Saccharomyces cerevisiae S288C: one gene and its partners. Changing the gene in region 3 together with the main gene of any one other region gives a genetic interaction. Each region holds a gene or a part of one and is shown on either strand. Other genes may lie near its edges. The genes, in order: PAB1, LDB16, NAM7 and LYS2.

The links.
Region 1: mutations in NAM7 (region 3) and PAB1 together harm fitness less than expected from each alone (positive genetic interaction), as found in Saccharomyces cerevisiae (2 studies listed by BioGRID).
Region 2: mutations in NAM7 (region 3) and LDB16 together harm fitness less than expected from each alone (positive genetic interaction), as found in Saccharomyces cerevisiae (one large-scale study listed by BioGRID).
Region 4: of NAM7 (region 3) and LYS2, a mutation in one rescues a mutant of the other (synthetic rescue), as found in Saccharomyces cerevisiae (one study listed by BioGRID).

What each region holds. Positions count from the first base shown.
Region 1 is NC_001137.3:508,767-512,684, forward strand, and holds PAB1 (polyadenylate-binding protein), read left to right. Parts: upstream 1-1,606; coding exon 1,607-3,340; downstream 3,341-3,918. Other genes in the region: chromatin-remodeling ATPase CHD1, read left to right, coding at 1-1,032. UniProt on the Saccharomyces cerevisiae protein: Binds the poly(A) tail of mRNA. Appears to be an important mediator of the multiple roles of the poly(A) tail in mRNA biogenesis, stability and translation.
Region 2 is NC_001135.5:106,508-109,370, forward strand, and holds LDB16 (Ldb16p), read left to right. Parts: upstream 1-1,513; coding exon 1,514-2,284; downstream 2,285-2,863. Other genes in the region: ubiquitin-binding ESCRT-I subunit protein STP22, read right to left, coding at 1-346; VMA9 (H(+)-transporting V0 sector ATPase subunit e), read left to right, coding at 516-526, 604-684, 781-910; PGS1 (CDP-diacylglycerol--glycerol-3-phosphate 3-phosphatidyltransferase), read left to right, coding at 2,598-2,863.
Region 3 is NC_001145.3:426,212-431,252, forward strand, and holds NAM7 (ATP-dependent RNA helicase NAM7), read right to left. Parts: upstream 3,417-5,041; coding exon 501-3,416; downstream 1-500. Other genes in the region: ISF1 (Isf1p), read right to left, coding at 3,868-4,884. UniProt on the Saccharomyces cerevisiae protein: RNA-dependent helicase required for nonsense-mediated decay (NMD) of aberrant mRNAs containing premature stop codons and modulates the expression level of normal mRNAs. Also capable of unwinding double-stranded DNA and translocating on single-stranded DNA.
Region 4 is NC_001134.8:469,169-475,719, forward strand, and holds LYS2 (L-aminoadipate-semialdehyde dehydrogenase), read right to left. Parts: upstream 4,759-6,551; coding exon 580-4,758; downstream 1-579. Other genes in the region: DNA repair protein RAD16, read left to right, coding at 1-452; transketolase TKL2, read right to left, coding at 5,224-6,551. UniProt on the Saccharomyces cerevisiae protein: Catalyzes the activation of alpha-aminoadipate by ATP-dependent adenylation and the reduction of activated alpha-aminoadipate by NADPH.

The DNA of each region.
Region 1 (3,918 bases), on a different chromosome or scaffold from region 3:
AAATCTTTAAACGCCGAATCTTTACTAAGTAGAGTGGAGGATTTAAAGTACTTGAAGAACTTGATAAATTCAAACTACAAAGATGATCCATTAAAGTTTAGCCTAGGCAACAACACACCTAAGCCTGTACAGAATTGGTCATCTAATTGGACGAAAGAGGAAGATGAGAAGCTATTGATTGGTGTTTTCAAATATGGATATGGTTCCTGGACACAAATAAGAGACGATCCATTTCTAGGCATTACTGATAAAATATTCTTGAATGAAGTTCACAATCCGGTAGCAAAAAAGTCGGCAAGCTCCTCTGATACAACACCAACACCCTCAAAGAAAGGAAAGGGAATAACGGGTTCTTCAAAAAAAGTACCTGGTGCCATTCACTTGGGCAGAAGAGTTGATTATCTATTATCCTTCTTAAGAGGAGGCCTAAATACAAAGAGTCCCAGTGCTGACATAGGCTCGAAAAAACTCCCTACTGGTCCTTCCAAAAAGAGACAAAGAAAACCTGCTAATCACAGCAAATCCATGACTCCAGAAATTACAAGTTCTGAGCCTGCAAATGGCCCGCCAAGCAAACGTATGAAAGCCCTCCCAAAAGGTCCTGCCGCCTTAATAAATAACACGAGATTGTCTCCAAACAGCCCCACGCCCCCATTAAAGTCCAAGGTTTCCAGAGATAATGGTACAAGGCAATCAAGCAACCCCAGTAGCGGCAGCGCTCACGAAAAAGAATATGACAGCATGGATGAAGAAGACTGTCGACACACAATGAGTGCAATACGTACTTCTTTGAAGCGACTTAGAAGAGGCGGCAAAAGTCTTGATCGTAAGGAATGGGCCAAAATTTTGAAGACCGAATTAACTACGATTGGTAATCATATCGAATCGCAAAAGGGCTCATCGAGAAAGGCAAGCCCAGAAAAATATCGCAAGCACCTTTGGTCTTACAGTGCCAACTTTTGGCCTGCCGACGTTAAGAGTACAAAGCTGATGGCAATGTACGACAAGATAACAGAGTCTCAAAAGAAGTGAAACAATTTTTCTTCACCACATTTTCCATTGTTCCTTCCCCCCATAACTATAAACGTATTTATGTATATATATTTGCGTGTAAGTGTGTGTACTATAGGGCACCGTAAAGTAATAATGCTTAATTAGTTACTACTATGACCATATAAGAGGTCATACTGTATGAAGCCACAAAGCAGATAGATCAATCATGTTTAACGAAAACTGTTAATCGAAGATTATTTCTTTTTTTTTTTCTCTTTCCTTTTTACAAAGAAAATTTTTTTTGCGCTTTTTGCCATCACCATCGCAAGTTCTGGGACAATTGTTCTCTTTCGCTCCAGTTCCAAGGAAAGAGGTTTCTGTTTTACTTAATAGAAAGTGTCATCTTGTATTTTATATCTCTTCTTTCTTGTGTAAAATTCTTTAGTTTTGATTTTGTATTTTTAGGACAGTGAGCTACGAAGTAACATTTTTACTTAATAACCGTTTGAAGCATAGAGCAGGCCCTGGTACCACCACCTAATATCTGGCTTTTTATTCAATAAAAACTCAAAAAAAAAAATCCAAAAAAAACTAAAAAACCAATAAAAATAAAATGGCTGATATTACTGATAAGACAGCTGAACAATTGGAAAACTTGAATATTCAAGATGACCAAAAGCAAGCCGCCACTGGTTCAGAAAGCCAATCTGTTGAAAACTCTTCTGCATCATTATATGTTGGTGACTTAGAACCTTCTGTTTCCGAAGCCCACTTATATGATATCTTCTCTCCAATCGGTTCAGTCTCCTCCATTCGTGTCTGTCGTGATGCCATCACTAAGACCTCTTTGGGCTATGCTTATGTTAACTTTAACGACCATGAAGCCGGCAGAAAAGCAATTGAGCAATTGAACTACACTCCAATCAAGGGTAGATTATGCCGTATTATGTGGTCTCAACGTGACCCATCATTGAGAAAGAAGGGTTCTGGTAACATCTTTATCAAGAACTTGCACCCTGATATTGACAACAAGGCTTTGTATGACACTTTCTCTGTGTTTGGTGACATCTTGTCCAGCAAGATTGCCACCGACGAAAACGGAAAATCCAAGGGTTTTGGGTTTGTTCACTTCGAAGAAGAAGGTGCTGCCAAGGAAGCTATTGATGCTTTGAATGGTATGCTGTTGAACGGTCAAGAAATTTATGTTGCTCCTCACTTGTCCAGAAAGGAACGTGACTCTCAATTGGAAGAGACTAAGGCACATTACACTAACCTTTATGTGAAAAACATCAACTCCGAAACTACTGACGAACAATTCCAAGAATTGTTTGCCAAATTTGGTCCAATTGTTTCTGCCTCTTTGGAAAAGGATGCTGATGGAAAATTGAAGGGTTTCGGGTTTGTTAACTACGAAAAGCATGAAGACGCTGTGAAAGCTGTTGAAGCTTTGAATGACTCTGAACTAAATGGAGAAAAGTTATACGTTGGTCGTGCCCAAAAGAAGAATGAACGTATGCATGTCTTGAAGAAGCAATACGAAGCTTACAGATTGGAAAAAATGGCCAAGTACCAAGGTGTTAATTTGTTTGTTAAGAACTTAGATGACAGCGTTGATGACGAAAAGTTGGAAGAAGAATTTGCTCCATATGGTACTATCACTTCTGCAAAGGTTATGAGAACCGAAAACGGTAAGTCTAAGGGTTTTGGTTTTGTTTGTTTCTCAACTCCAGAGGAAGCTACTAAGGCCATTACAGAAAAGAACCAACAAATTGTTGCTGGTAAGCCATTATACGTTGCCATTGCTCAAAGAAAAGACGTAAGACGTTCTCAATTGGCTCAACAAATCCAAGCCAGAAATCAAATGAGATACCAGCAAGCTACTGCTGCCGCTGCCGCCGCCGCTGCCGGTATGCCAGGTCAATTCATGCCTCCAATGTTCTATGGTGTTATGCCACCAAGAGGTGTTCCATTCAACGGTCCAAACCCACAACAAATGAACCCAATGGGCGGTATGCCAAAGAACGGCATGCCACCTCAATTTAGAAATGGTCCGGTTTACGGCGTCCCCCCACAAGGTGGTTTCCCAAGAAATGCCAACGATAACAACCAATTTTATCAACAAAAGCAAAGACAAGCTTTGGGTGAACAATTATACAAGAAGGTTTCTGCTAAGACTTCAAATGAAGAAGCAGCTGGTAAAATTACTGGTATGATTTTGGATTTGCCACCTCAAGAGGTCTTCCCATTGTTGGAAAGTGATGAATTGTTCGAACAACACTACAAAGAAGCTTCTGCTGCCTATGAGTCTTTCAAAAAGGAGCAAGAACAACAAACTGAGCAAGCTTAATGCTCTATGTAATCACCTACTTCCCTACTCAACAAACTTATCATCTTTTTTTTCTCCCTTCCCTTTTTTTTTTGTCTTAAATACTAGTTATTATCCTTTGTAACCTAAATACTCGCTCTTATTGACAAAATGCAAACGTTTTTTGTTTTTAACTGTCAAGAGAAGTATCATTTTACTATTATTAGACTTCATTACTGAGTTTATTAGTTGCGTTTTTTTGAGGTCTCATTATTAACGGCAGAATGTTAGTTTTCGCGGAAAATAAACAAAATAGCACGGAAAAAAGACCAACAGGTTCCAGGAAAATACTAATTTACAAAAAATTGACAAATCAAGTGAGGGTACCTTGCTATTCATCACCGCATTCAACTAACTGGAGGTACAAAGCTGATAAAATTTCACAGAGCAAAGTCTCACTTAGCTTTTACTTTATGAAATTTGACCTTTAATAACCGAAGGTCATCGTAATACGCAACTCAGACAGTTTTAAGTGGATTTTTAGGGTCGCAATTAAAAACACTCAAAAATTAACCGGAGGTTGAGCAAGGGAAAGCAACCGTAACAGAAATCCTTTATTT
Region 2 (2,863 bases), on a different chromosome or scaffold from region 3:
TGGGCAAGGAACTACTGATGGTGTTCATGTCGAAATTTTCCAAGTTTATACTTATAAAGGGAGGTTTTACCGGGTACATACTGGGTACCCACATGATCACAGGAATACTGTGAGGAGATGAACCATCCTCACCAGTACTAATGGTACCATATATGGACAACAGTAGTTGTGGAGTGCCGTCAGAGTGCGTAAATACCCTTGTTCTTGGCCTTAAACTGTGAAAATTGTCCAGCAGCGCTAAAGAATCGTGGAAAGTTGTTCTTCCGTCGTTATAAATGGGTTGAATGACTTTGAACAGCCAATTGACCACCGCCTCGGGAACAGAGATCTTGCCGTTTGCAGACATCGTTGCTCTTCACTCTCTCTCTTTTCTTGGCCGTTAAGATACCAACTGCCCACAAAATTTTGCCGTAACTTTTTATTCTCGCTCTGTGAAAAAAGACTACTACATTTTTTGACCTTTTATCTATACTTTAAGAAACAAAGGTCCAACGAATAATAAAGAACAAAGAGTAATGAGTAGTTTGTATGTGTCATAATCTCTTCTCTCCGCTTCCCTTTTCTTCCTTCTTCTTCTACTAACTCTCTGCGCGTCCAATTTAGCTATACTGTTGTTGGTGTATTCATAGTGGTTAGTGCCATGTCCGTGCTGTTCTGGATAATGGCTCCAAAGAACAACCAAGCGTATGTGCAACATTTTTTTTACGATGTGTCTCCATATTACTAGTTTCCCTTTCTTTTTTACTAACAAGAGTTTGTTTGTTTTGTTTTGTCGTACAGTGTTTGGAGAAGTACAGTGATTTTGACATTGGCCATGATGTTTTTGATGTGGGCCATTACGTTCCTTTGCCAGCTCCATCCCTTGGTGGCTCCACGCCGTTCAGATTTGAGACCTGAATTTGCAGAATAAAGCGTCGAGTATATCAAGCCAAGTGACGTTTCCTGAGTATAAGAAAAATAAGCAAAATAAGTATACATAAAAATAAATACGAATAGAAATATAGTGGCATCTAAACAACCCAGAGATTTTTTGAAAAACACAATGAGTATATACTGATAGACAACCACACGGTCTTTGAAACGAGACGCCGTCTACGGTTGTATCAAAATGTGTAAACGGGCCATTTCAAAGCTTGATCTTCTCCATAATTAGAACCCATGTCCCGTGGAAGCGTTTTAAAAGACATGAGGCAGAAACAGGAGTGTGATATCCTTGCATGCGCAAGTTGGTAATACACTGCACAAAACACGCGTGTGCACATACACTTATGTGGTTCACCGTGCCGCTGCTGTGTTTATCTGTTGCTCGACATGTGCTGCTAATGATTATGTTGGAATAGACAAACAATTTAAAGTAATTTCTTCTTTTTTTATAGTGAGAAATCTCAAAAGAAAAAAAAAAAAATAAAAAAAACTAAAGAGCTGCCGGGTGAGCAACGACTAAAAGAAGAAACCATTTAGGGCTTCATCAGCAACTGTAGGAGGAGAAAGCAGGTATATAACTAGCCGCAATATGTTTGTGGTGGATTGGAGCGTGCAGCTATGCATGGGAGTGATTTCACCTCTCTTCCGTGCCCTCGTGCAACTGCCTTTATCAATTTTCGTATGGAATGGGTTTCAGCTTGTGGCATTGCCTATCAACATCCCATTGAGGTTGTTCCTGGGGACGTCGCTGAGCCGTTTAGTTGCACAAACAAGCACATTAGACTTCTATGTGGTTTTGACGTTGTTTCAATATTTTGCTGTGCTTTGTGCTTTTGGCAGCATCATAGGACTCATCTTTGGATTTATATTGGGTGTGTTCCACTCAATCTGCGGGGTACCCAGTGTATACATAAGTCTAGAATGGAAACGGTGGTTTGCTCCGATACGTACGGTCCTTGAACGTGCTTCCACTAGTATTGTCAACATTATGCGAGGACAAACTATTGCGCCAATACCCATGCCTAAGCCCAATCCCACGCATATATCAAAGCCTAACATGAAAAAATTCCATGATGAGCCTGGAGCTGATGATATGACTATAACGCATGATGTGAACTGCTACATCACCCCTTGCCAAACGCCTACTAACGAAAAAATTCAGCATTATAATAATGATTCATTCAACACGACCACCACAGACGATGAACCCACTGATATTTGGGATAGGTCTGACACTTACCAAAACTCATTCGTCACCAATGAAACTTTGATGTCTCTTTCTAATAGAGCTAAGCTTCGAAGAAATGCCAGTGATGCGGACATCGTTAATATAAAGATTTTACGAAGGAATTCTAGGTGATATTGCAATTACTTCTTCTCATGCACTAACAAGTGAATGATAGAAATATGTTGAGTTCCTAACTGCCTGATTTTAAATAAGTTTCATATTATAATCTTTTAGCATATATATATATATATTGATCCTCTCTCTTCTTTATTTTCTGCCAGTAACCCATGTGTGAAGAAGAAAACATAAATAAAAAAGCAGTAGCACATGGACACATTCACGCCCGAACACTCCTAAAAAGCAGCCCACACAAGAAAGTAGATATAATGTAGGACACCCAGCTTGTCCATAATTGCTAATAGCATACTCAGGATAACATATATTAATGACGACTCGTTTGCTCCAACTCACTCGTCCTCATTACAGATTATTATCCCTACCTCTCCAGAAACCCTTCAATATAAAAAGGCAGATGTCCGCTGCGAACCCTTCTCCATTTGGCAATTATTTGAACACGATCACTAAGTCCCTACAACAGAATTTACAAACATGCTTTCATTTCCAAGCAAAAGAAATCGATATAATCGAATCTCCATCTCAGTTTTACGATCTCTTGAAGACAAAAATACTTAATTCACAAAATAGAATATT
Region 3 (5,041 bases):
TACTCTTTTTTTATTTTTTTTTTTTCTTCCACTCAGCTATTAGATTATTTATTATTTTATTATCTGTGGTATCATTTTCTACAGCCATACCTTGATTTTAGTTTATTTTGTTGGCAGTTATATACATTTATCTTATAGAATACATATGCACGTATTAAACAATAAAAAGAACATAAGCAAAAATGAAACCTCGCTACAATAAAACTTTATTACGCATTGCAGTGCGCCGTAAAGAGTATTCATTAGAAGTACAATGGTAGCCCTATTTGGTTGCAACATGTTTTAGCAAAGAGATTAGTAGGCTAGGATATCAAGTCCATGCCCCTTTATCACATACTGTAATGATAGATGCACCTCCGGAAAAGTAAAAAAAGTTTTTCAGGTTACAATTGTGCAAATTGCGAGTCTATCTCGAATAATTTTGCAGCGCTCATTTCACGGTTGAGCCGTTTTGTATCACAAGCCAAGTTTAACATTTTATTTTAACAGGGTTCACCGAATTATATTCCCAAATTGCTGAAGTCTTTTGACAATTCATGCTTTTGTTCTTCTCTCTGTAACTCTCTCGCGAAGTTAGAGTTCAAATGAGAAGCCTCCTCCTGGTACAAATTTCTATCGTCAATTTCATTGCGATTTTGCTTTTGAGAAAAAGCACTTTTAAAATTCTCAAAATTCCAATATTCATTATTGATGTAAGAAGAAAGTTCTGTGTTGTCAACAAATGCATTACCAAAGTCCCCAATTTGACCACTGAATGACACCATACTCTGTGCATCAAAATCCTGGAACTTCGGAAAGTCACCCATTTCAGATTCTACGTTAAATTGAGCGTTCATTGGCCGTTCAGTCTTTCTTGGCTGAGGACGAACTAATTGAACAGTGCATAACTGTAAGTTATCCAACGTACCTTCGACTAAACAACCCTTCTCTCTGAAGTGGATTAACAGATGGTTCCATAATGTGTTTCTTGCCAAAGATCTAGGATTACCAAGAATAACTAGACCATATTTGGCACGGGTTAGACCCACGTTTAGACGACGAGGATCACGTAAGAAACCAATGGCCTGTTGTTCATTGGCACGAACACACGATAAGATTATGTAATCCTTTTCACGACCTTGGAATGCATCAACTGAGGCAACTTCCACTTTGATATACAAATCCTTATCCAATGAACCATTCATTTGCATATATTGTAAAATATAAGCTCTTTGTCCCTCATATGGTGTGATAACACCAATTTGCTCGGGCTTGACACCGTCTCTGAAAAGTTTAGTGATGATTCGTTCACAATTCATGGCTTCAATTCTGTTTAAGAAGGAAGTACCGTTAGCAGAAATCTCCTCTCTACCGTAATTGGCCCAAAACATCATTGGTATACCGCGAATTGGCCATGGGAATTTGCTGTTGGGAACGGTACGCTGTTCAATCGTTACACCATTTTGTAGGCTGCCTTCATAAAACATGTTACTTGGAAACTCACTCAAATAAGGATTCATACGGTATTGAACTTCCAAACGAATCGGTACGTGGCCTAGAGAGATTAATCTTTCAAAGAGAGATTGTTTCAAACCAGCGTCTGCCGCCTTTCGTTCCAATATGACTGGGCCCAGTTGCTGGTGATCACCAACAAGTATAACTTGTTTCGCACCTTTAACGATTGGGATTAAACATTCCGGCTCAGAAGCTTGAGTACTTTCATCAATTAACACAGTCCTAAATTTAGTGTCTAAGCGCTTATCACCAGCACCAACACATGTGCAACATACGACATCTGCCTTATTGAGAATTTCTGCTTCTGTTTTCCTTACTAATTTAACAAACCGTTTTGTATCAGAAGCAGATAATTCGCCAACTTCATCCTTTAACTTTAATAGGTTTTTTAATTCCCCTTTAGCACCACGGCCAACCAAATTATGCAATGCTAAGTTGGAGACGGAACTCTCCACATCTTCTCTACTTTTCGCGGTAAGTCTAACAACTTTTAAACCCAAGTCACGTAATTTGGCAGCCAAATGATCTACAGCAACGTTTGATGGGGCACACACCAATATTCTATCCTTGTGTATTTTGGAAAGGTGATACACAATCGTTGCTGAAGTAACTGTTTTACCAGTGCCTGGTGGGCCTTGAATTAAAGATAACGGACGTTGTAATACATGACTAACAGCGTTCGACTGGGATGAGTTTAATTGTGCAAAATTCGGAATTGAAAACTCCTTAGGTAATGGGACATCAAATGAAATGTCAACCACTTGATGGCCTAAAATTTTATAGTACAAATAACCTGAAATAGATTTTTTATCAATGGCAAATTTTTTCAATGCGTCTTGCATCCTGTCATAAGAGGTACCTTTCCAGATGAACTCAGCAGTAAAACCAGTGGTCAAATGTGTTGGAGGTGGCGTTTTACTTGGTTTTAACTCTAATGTGAATGTGTCCTGGAAGCTATTTGGTAACCGAACAATGTAACCACGACCTTCCCAATCAGGATGTTGCATGCCAGAGTACCATAGTATCATTTCATCACCGATGGCAACTTTCAACTCGTTAGATTCGAAAGTAGATAAAGTGAAAGATGCTAAATGCCTATTATTTAAAGCTAAGGACCATGAAACAGAAATATGTTCTAAAGCTTGAGATTCCTTGAGTTGTTTATCATAGTCGGCCTCCAATTTGATTAAAGGCCCGTAAGATCTTTGGTATTCGTAGGCGTCTTGATATCTCAATAGTAAAGGTGGGATTGCTTCCTGTTCCTCTGGGGCGTCAATATCATTAATTGTAGCGTCTTTATTGGATCTCCATTTTGCCTCCAACTTGGAAATTTGGCTAGGAGTGATTAAACGAGCTTTCAATTTTTCTTCTTCAGTTGGTTGCTCTGCGACCCATGATAAAAGTTGTCTGTCTTCAATTAATGGTTGCCATTGATCAGTATCCCAGTTCGCATTTTTCGTCTGGGCACAAGGTATTCTACAAAGTAAAACAACCACGGCCTCACTTTTAGCGGAAACAAATCCCAATAAAAACACGTTCTTACGTCCACAGTTATAACATTCCAAAACGGTATCCCCTAAGTCAGAATCTGGATGTAAAGAAACTACGTTATGGTGGGATAAAACTAAGTGATTAACAATGTGGGAGCTGCTTGTACCGTTTTTAGTGTTACAAAACCATTTCTTACATGAATTACATTTGATGACACACTTTGCAGAATCTATACCACAATACGCACATGAATTGTCTGAAGCTGAAGGCGAACGGAATCCAGTCTCAGTGACTTGAGCCTCTTCAAATAGCTGATTATCTACATCGTCATCCTCCACCAAGGTGGAATTTAGTTGTGTTGCGGGTTGGACATTTACATCAGATGGAGAGTTTGATATATCATAAGGAGTGTGAGAACCGGAACCGACCATTTGATAATGACAATGATTGATGTAATATAAAAAGTATATTCGGTCTTGCTGCCCTTCCTTCTTTCCTGATGAAATCTTCAACGTTTGTTGGCTGACAAGAGAAATAGAGTCTTCTGTTAGTGTGCGTTAAAACGATGCCTCTTTTCGCTTTTTTTTTCTCCTTCACAATAGCATCGTAAGTTTCTGGTAAGCTTTTCATTTGATCAGTTAGTACGAAAGCGTATAAAGGTGTCCCTCCCAAATCAAGTAAGCAAAGGGAAACTGATGATACTAAAATAATGTAAATTAAGATTAAACTAAAGTTAAAAGTAAAAGCATTCACTCGTTTAATATTATTGAGTGGATAGTAACTAACTATGTATATTTTCTTTTTGTTTTTCTTATTTCCCGTTCATGAATTCATTAAAAGTTAGGCGAATTACGGAGTTCGCCAGATGCATATGTTTCGTTTTCAATTGGAGAATGAACTCGCTAGTGACAATTTTATGAATGATTTTCTCCTGGGATTCCTTTCCTCCAGGCAATTAGAAGTGTGAGGACTAGATTCTTCGTTAGAAGAAGCCACACTAGTATTCAATGAACTATTGGAAGGAGATTTCACCAAAGAGTTGGAATACGAGTTGTTTCTAGTCTGCAAGGGAGAGGAAGAGGAACCATTGGAAAGAAGCGAAAAGGATTCTCTTCTTAGATTTGATGGCGTTCGTTCTCTGTGATAGTGGTTAAGGTTTCCACTGTGACCTGGGACGTTATTTGATGATATTTTCCCATGGGAAATCAATTTTAGTCGATTATTCTTTTCGTTGGAGAGATAAGACGACGGATATGCAGCCGAACTTGAATTCAGATTCAAATACGAGTTGGAATTCGAGGCGGGTGTTGAAACAGATGTTAATGGGGAAGTGAGATCATTTGACTGGTCGTTAGCTACTGCTAGAGAGTCTAGCTCGGATGAAACGTATTTTTCAAGGCCGTATAGATGTGTTGGTATACCGTAACAGGAAGAATGCCTGGATCTTGGCTTTATGCATTTGTGGTCAAAACAGGAATCCGCCGCGTCGCCCAAGGAAGACTGTCTTGTGGATTGTCTGGACAACTGGTGAATGAGGGTGCTACTATTTGCTCTTATTCTTCTTGGAGAAGGGCGAATTGGTTCATTGGAATTGTTCGTTGAATTTGCTGGGACGAAGCCATACAAGTGATGCGGAGCTGTCTTGATTTTTCTCAAATGGTGGCCAATAGTATGATTGCCTATGTGTCTGCTTGTATTACCGGCATTGGTACTGCTGCTGTGGTGAGAATTATTTGATTTCGAGGAATTTTGAAAACTAAAGGACGCTAATTTGGAATTTACAAAATCATTCAAATCATTTGAACCTAAAAAACTTTGTACGTCTGTTTCATCTTCATAATCACAATCTTGACAAAATGGATCTTGTACACCTCTTTCAAAAATTTCTGAAGCAATCATCAAAATACAGCGACTATTTCTATTCTTTGATGTTTTTTATTCCACTGAGGAGATAATTATTCAAACTGAAATATTTTACGCAAACCTTTCTATTTATGTGTATTACCTTTAATCTAAGTGGTTGTAGCTCATACACTTATTATAATTGGTAGAGAAA
Region 4 (6,551 bases), on a different chromosome or scaffold from region 3:
TTGTGTTTTCCCAGTTTACCAGTATGCTGGATCTGGTAGAGTGGAGATTGAAAAGAGCTGGATTTCAAACAGTGAAGCTTCAGGGTAGTATGTCACCGACGCAAAGAGATGAAACCATCAAGTATTTCATGAACAACATTCAATGCGAGGTTTTCTTGGTCAGTTTAAAGGCGGGCGGTGTTGCTTTGAATCTTTGTGAAGCTTCGCAAGTATTCATTTTAGACCCATGGTGGAACCCTAGTGTTGAATGGCAAAGTGGTGATAGAGTTCATAGAATTGGTCAGTATCGACCTGTGAAGATCACAAGGTTTTGCATTGAGGATAGTATAGAAGCAAGAATCATTGAATTACAGGAAAAAAAGGCAAATATGATTCATGCTACAATAAACCAAGATGAAGCTGCCATTAGCAGACTAACGCCAGCTGATTTACAGTTCTTATTCAATAACTAATATTTTATTCTCTTATTATATATTATTCTCGGAGTTTTTAAGTGACATCACCCGAAAAGAAGCTAAGTCTTTCTCCTAATTCATATTTAATTATTGTACATGGACATATCATACGTAATGCTCAACCTTAAGCTGCTGCGGAGCTTCCACGAGCACCAGCACCTGAAGCAACTAGACTTATTTGCGCTTGAGTTAGTTCTATACTTGGCAGTGGAAGTTTGTCATTATGAGTTGGTGGAGGTAAAAATCCAACCTTGTTTAAAAATGCAATATATATACCAACCTCTTCTGGAGTAACACCTATTCCATTAGACCAATCAACACCTGTCCATGCGGTGTCTTTCTTTAAAGATGCCACGGCGTTCCTATCGTCTAGTTCCGGAGCTTTGGTACTTTCAGGTAAGTTGTCTAAGACCATGTGTAGCAAAGGATACAACGCATTTTCTTCATTCCTGTCAATAACAGACGCCTCCAATGATTTCTTCCATTTAGAATAGCTTTCGATTTCGACATCGTAACCATAATCGTGTAAAGTATACAAGTAGTCTTTGAATAATATTCTTGGGTGACCCGTTACTTGAGCAACGGCCAATTCATTTTCTTTGGGAGGATTCAAAGACGTAGCAACAACAACACGAGCAACATGATCTACTGGAACCATATTCACGGAATTTTCGATATCTGGAATCTTACCTAATTGGACTGAACCTTTCAAAAATCTCAATAAGAAATCATCTGTGTTTGAAGAACCATTGGCAGAGGCACCTGTTACGTAACCTGGTCTGACAATACACCCACGTAGGCCCCTTTCACCTGCACGTCTAATGATGTACTCAGCAGCCCATTTGGACTGACCATATCCACCAGTGAGCCCGCTTGCAGAGTTCATTAAATCGTCTGATTCTAAAATGCCTGGCTTCCCTTCGCTAACAAGTTTATCTGACAAATTAAAGTAGTATTCAGTGTCAAGAGTAGAAGTGGAGGAAACAAAGTCAAAGAACTTTGGCTTGCCGACGGCGGCTAAGCTCATAACATTGATAGTTGAAATAACATTTGGATCCCTCAATTTGGCATATGGATAAACCCAGTGAACTAACGCACCATTATGGATAATTATATCAACTGTGTTTGCCAAATCCATCCACTTCTCATCTGAAAGACCAAATTGGCTTTTAGATAAATCGCCTAATACAACTTTAATATTTGAGGCAAATTTTTCGTTCCAAGTACCATAGGTGATACCTGCCTTTTGTAATCTTGCAAATGCAGCTTCTTCATCCTTGGCCCTGACGTGGGCAAACACTTTGAAACTGTAGTTCTTTGGAGAACGTCCTAACAAATCTGCAAGGATGTAGGAGCCCAGAAATCCTGTGACACCGGTAACAAACACATTAATTGTTGTTTTTCCTTCGGCACTATTAGGTTCAACAAAATATTCTCGAGAGGGGTACGAACTTGGTAGCGTCTCAACCAATTTCTTGGCGTCTTCCGCATAATTTGCAGTGACATTTTCGACGACCTCACCTTGAGATGATCCACCCGATGATTTAATTCTGTCAATTTCCGCGGCAAAGGCCTTTATCGTTGGATACTTGAAAATTGTGCCCAATGGTAAATCAACTTGCAGCTTTTTCTTTAAGGTAAAAATCATTTTGGTAGCCAAGATAGAATGACCACCTAAATCGAAAAACGAATCATCTGGTGATACAGATGCTGGCTTGGTAGGTAATATACTTAACCATAAGTCTCTAACCTCGCGCTCAACATTGGTAAACTGAGAGTCGTCAGTTTCAGAAACTGTATTTTCAGCTACCAAATTTAATTGCTTGGGAGTTGGGAATTGAAGTTTAGGCTTATCAACTTTACCATTTGGATTCAATGGTAGTTTATCCATAACCACAATCAAGGAAGGCATAGCATAGCTAGCCAATCTTTTCTTTAAGAAAGTCCTGATGTCCTTGGATAAAAGATGGTAACCGATTAAGCCCTTAACTATAGGGTCAGTTTCAACCTCCTTTGGAACATCACTTTGGAACTTAGACAAGTCATCTGGCTTGTCAAATCTTGGGACCATAAATGTGATCAATGTTGGCTCATTGTCGGCATTTTTGCGAACTAAAGTAATGTTTTCTCTTACCAATGGATGTTGGGAAATGTGCGTATCTATTTCTCCTAATTCGATTCTGAACCCACGAATTTTAACTTGATCATCAGCCCTACCGCAACATTCACAGTCACCGTTTGGTAGATAACGACCTAAATCACCCGTTCTGTACAATCTATCTCTTGGACCTAACCAGAATTGTCTCCAAGGTTCACCATTATCCTTATCCAAATAATTCCAGTGATCTTTTTCAACAAACCAGTTGTTCACAAATTTTTCTTTATTCAATTCTGGTAATCCTCTATAACCTTCGGCCAAACCACCTGCACGAACATAAATCTCACCTATTTCGCCAATACCACATATTTGAGTACGATCGTTCCTGTTAACAACTAGTAGCTGAACGTTCAACATACCTTTACCAGCAGGCATGACATCTTTCAATTTTTTCAAAAAGTTTGGATCGTCATTTTTTGATTTAACTTCGAAATAAGAAACTGCACGCTGTGTTTCAGTGGTACCGTACATATTAACAATACGGCAATTTTCTGCCAAGGTTTGTAACCTCAGACAATCACGTTTTGTTAAAATGTCACCCACAAAGAACGCATGATGTAACTTAGGGAATGGTGTAGTAGCTTGGGCAGTAAGTAATTGACCCATGGCAGGTGTTAAATGGGTAACTGTGCAACCATACTTACTCATCCATTCCGCTAAACGGCCCGGTGTACCAATATCATCTTGAGTAGGGACATACAATTGGGCACCTAAAAATAATGGTGTAAACATATCTCTTTGAATTGGATCATGTGCAATACCGCTCAGCATTGTGAATTTATCATTTTCTGTTAAGTTGAACCTTTTGGACATCCAATTGAAATAATAAGCCAAGGAAAAATGTCTACCAAGAACACCCTTAGGAATACCTTCGGAACCAGATGTGAAAGATAGGGTTGGGTTGGAATCTGGTCCAACTACAACACCTGTTCTGGTGTCTTTGTAGTGATCATATGGAGCCAAAACATCCTCGCCATTGTCCAATTTGCCACCTTCAATGGTACCATTTTCTTGAATAGCGATGGAATTGATTCTTGAAACAATCTCCAATTCATCATTGATGTAATCTTCTACTAGTTGATCCAATTGTCCAGCAGCTCTAATAACAATCAACCCACGTGGTTTAGCAACACCTAAGTAAATGGTTTGTCTGGCTGGGGGATATGCAGGGTCGATAACTGAAAAGGTTGCGCCGGCTTTCAAGACACCCATCACACATACCATCAAATCCACACCCCTAGAAGAATAGATCATCACTACATCACCTCTTTTGATACCTGTTTTAATCAAATAATGGGCAACTATGTTAGAAGTGCGGTTGATGTCGCGATAAGTGAAAGAACGGGACTTGTCGGAATTTAGTGTTGGAGTCTCCACAACACAGGTTCTCTCTGGGAAGGCTTCAGCATTGTCCTGGAAAATGTCGTGAATACACCCCACGAAATCGCACCAGCCCAAGTTCTTAGTTGGATCAGGTAAACTATCCTTGGATGATGCGGTGATCAGAGAGATTTTAGTTATGCAATTGGATGGATCGCTTAGCGCAGCAGTCAAATATTGAGTAAATTGGTCCGCAACAATGGTTACTCTTTCATTCGAATACAGTAAGCTGTTATAAATTAAGTTCAAAACATGCGCATTATTACTGGTATCCAAATTCAAAGCAAAGTCCACTAAATGATGCTTGAACTCGTCTAATTTGAAATCTTGGTTTTCCAAAAAGGCCAAACGGAACAACTGAGGGGTCCTTTCCAGATCTTGGCAACTTTGAATTTTTTCAGCTAGCTCGTCAAAGGAAAAATTGGCCTCAATAGAATTGAGCTTGTTCAACTCATTGTTAATTGTAGAATACAGCTCATTAAATGACCACGTTGGTTGAATATTGAATCTTAAGATTTTGTTATTCGCAATATAAAGAACAATATCATCGTCACCGGTTACTCTATATATCAATGCAGCCCATACACTCAAAGCGACAGCGTATTTGTTAGAAAAACTATCATGAGGCACATCGAGCTGAGGTAGCTGTAACGAATATGTAGCTTGTTTCGTATAAGGTTCTTGTTGTGGGCGTAAAAAGTCATGTGGTAACACTGAAAGAGTTGGATTATCCAACTTCTCTATCCAGACCTTTTCGTTAGTCATTAGTGAGTAACTCTGTGATATCTCTCTATAATTAGCAGTTTTTCACTGAAATTCCAGGAAAGGTAATAAACTCAGATTTTTTTTTATACTATTGGCTGCTTGTTACTTATATATCTTGAACTTCTCCCAGCGGGTCTTCAAATACATTTGGGCGATGTTCATGTTCATTAGGCAGGTATTTCGACATTGAGTCACACGCGAAAAACCGCCGGAATTTTTTATGTAATTGCAAGTGGAATTCCGCTGGCAAAACTATTGAAGAGTTTTCCTCGCTAAAACTGTGCGATGCCTCTAGAAGCGGTCAGCAAGAAGAAAATCGAATAATCAGTTTCAATGAATATAGACGTAACAAAGGCACAAAAAAGAAAACAAGTACATATGTCATACATATATATATATTTCAGGCAGCAAGTGACCATCAACCAGGAAGTGTGAAATAGCAAAGAACTGTTTACTTCTTCAGACTTAGAAAGCTCTTCCCATAGGAGAAAGCAACTGCTTTCCTTTGTAGTAATTGATTGTCTTTTCAGCCCTTGACGCAACACCGTCCGCTGTGAAATCGAACAATTTGTAAATTTCAGGCCCCTTGCCTGAACGACCAAATTCGTCGAGTCCGAACGATTGATGAGCATACTTACCCCAGCTTGAAGTAGCCAATACTTCAAAGGACATGATCGGAACACCGTCTGGTAGAACAGAGAATCTGTATTCTTCACTTTGCCTGTCAAAAGTATAAAAGTCTGGCAGGGAAACAACTCTTGCTTTGATTTTTTTAGTATCGTACAATTTTTTGGCTGCATCTATAGAAATGGAGACTTCTGATCCTGTTGACACCAGGATAATATCAGGATTCTCCACGTCATGGATCACATAGCCACCCTTCAAGGCTTTTTCAAAAGAGGAATGCTCCAATTGAGGAAGATTCTGTCGTGATAAAGCCACAACAGATGGTGTTCGACCAGATTTGATAGCAGAATAATACGCAGCAGAAGTTTCGTTACCATCAGCAGGTCTCCATACATGCATGTTTGGAATAGCCCTCAAGTGAGCCAGAGTTTCAATAGGTTGGTGCGTTGGACCATCCTCACCAAGCCCGATAGAGTCATGTGTTGCAACCCAAATGACTGGATTACCAGACAAGGCGGCTAACCTAACGGCTCCTGCAGCATAAGAGACGAAGTTCAAAAAGGTACCACCGTAAGGCTTGTAGTTTGCACCAAAGGCAGAGATACCGTTCATAATGGCACCCATTCCGTGTTCCCTCACACCGTATCTAATGTACCTTCCTGCATAGTTACCTAGTTGGGTAATGGGAGGTTGGAAATCTACCGCGCCTTCCCACCTTGTCAGATTCGAAGGTGTCAAATCGGCAGAACCACCGATCAATTCAGGCAAAACTTGGACCATGTTCGTCAGCACCTGCTGGGATGTCTTTCTTGTTGCCAGAGCATCGTCGTCCGGAGTAAACTTCGGTAAATGCTTTTCCCAACCTTCCGGTAACTCACCATTCAATCTTCTTTGCAATTCTTTACCCTTCTCGGGAAATTTGGTTTTGTATTCTTCAAACATCCTATCCCATTCCTCATTAAGTTTTTGACCGGGTTCCACAACAGTCTTCTTATAATAATCGTACACCTCTTGAGGTACTACAAATGATTTATTTGGGTCAAACCCCCACCTCTTCTTCAACTGTTTAACATCATCTGCCTTCAAAGCGGACCCATGAACACCAGCAGTACCCTGTTGTAGGGACCCAAATCCAATTGTAGTAGTTACCTTGATTATGGTTGGCT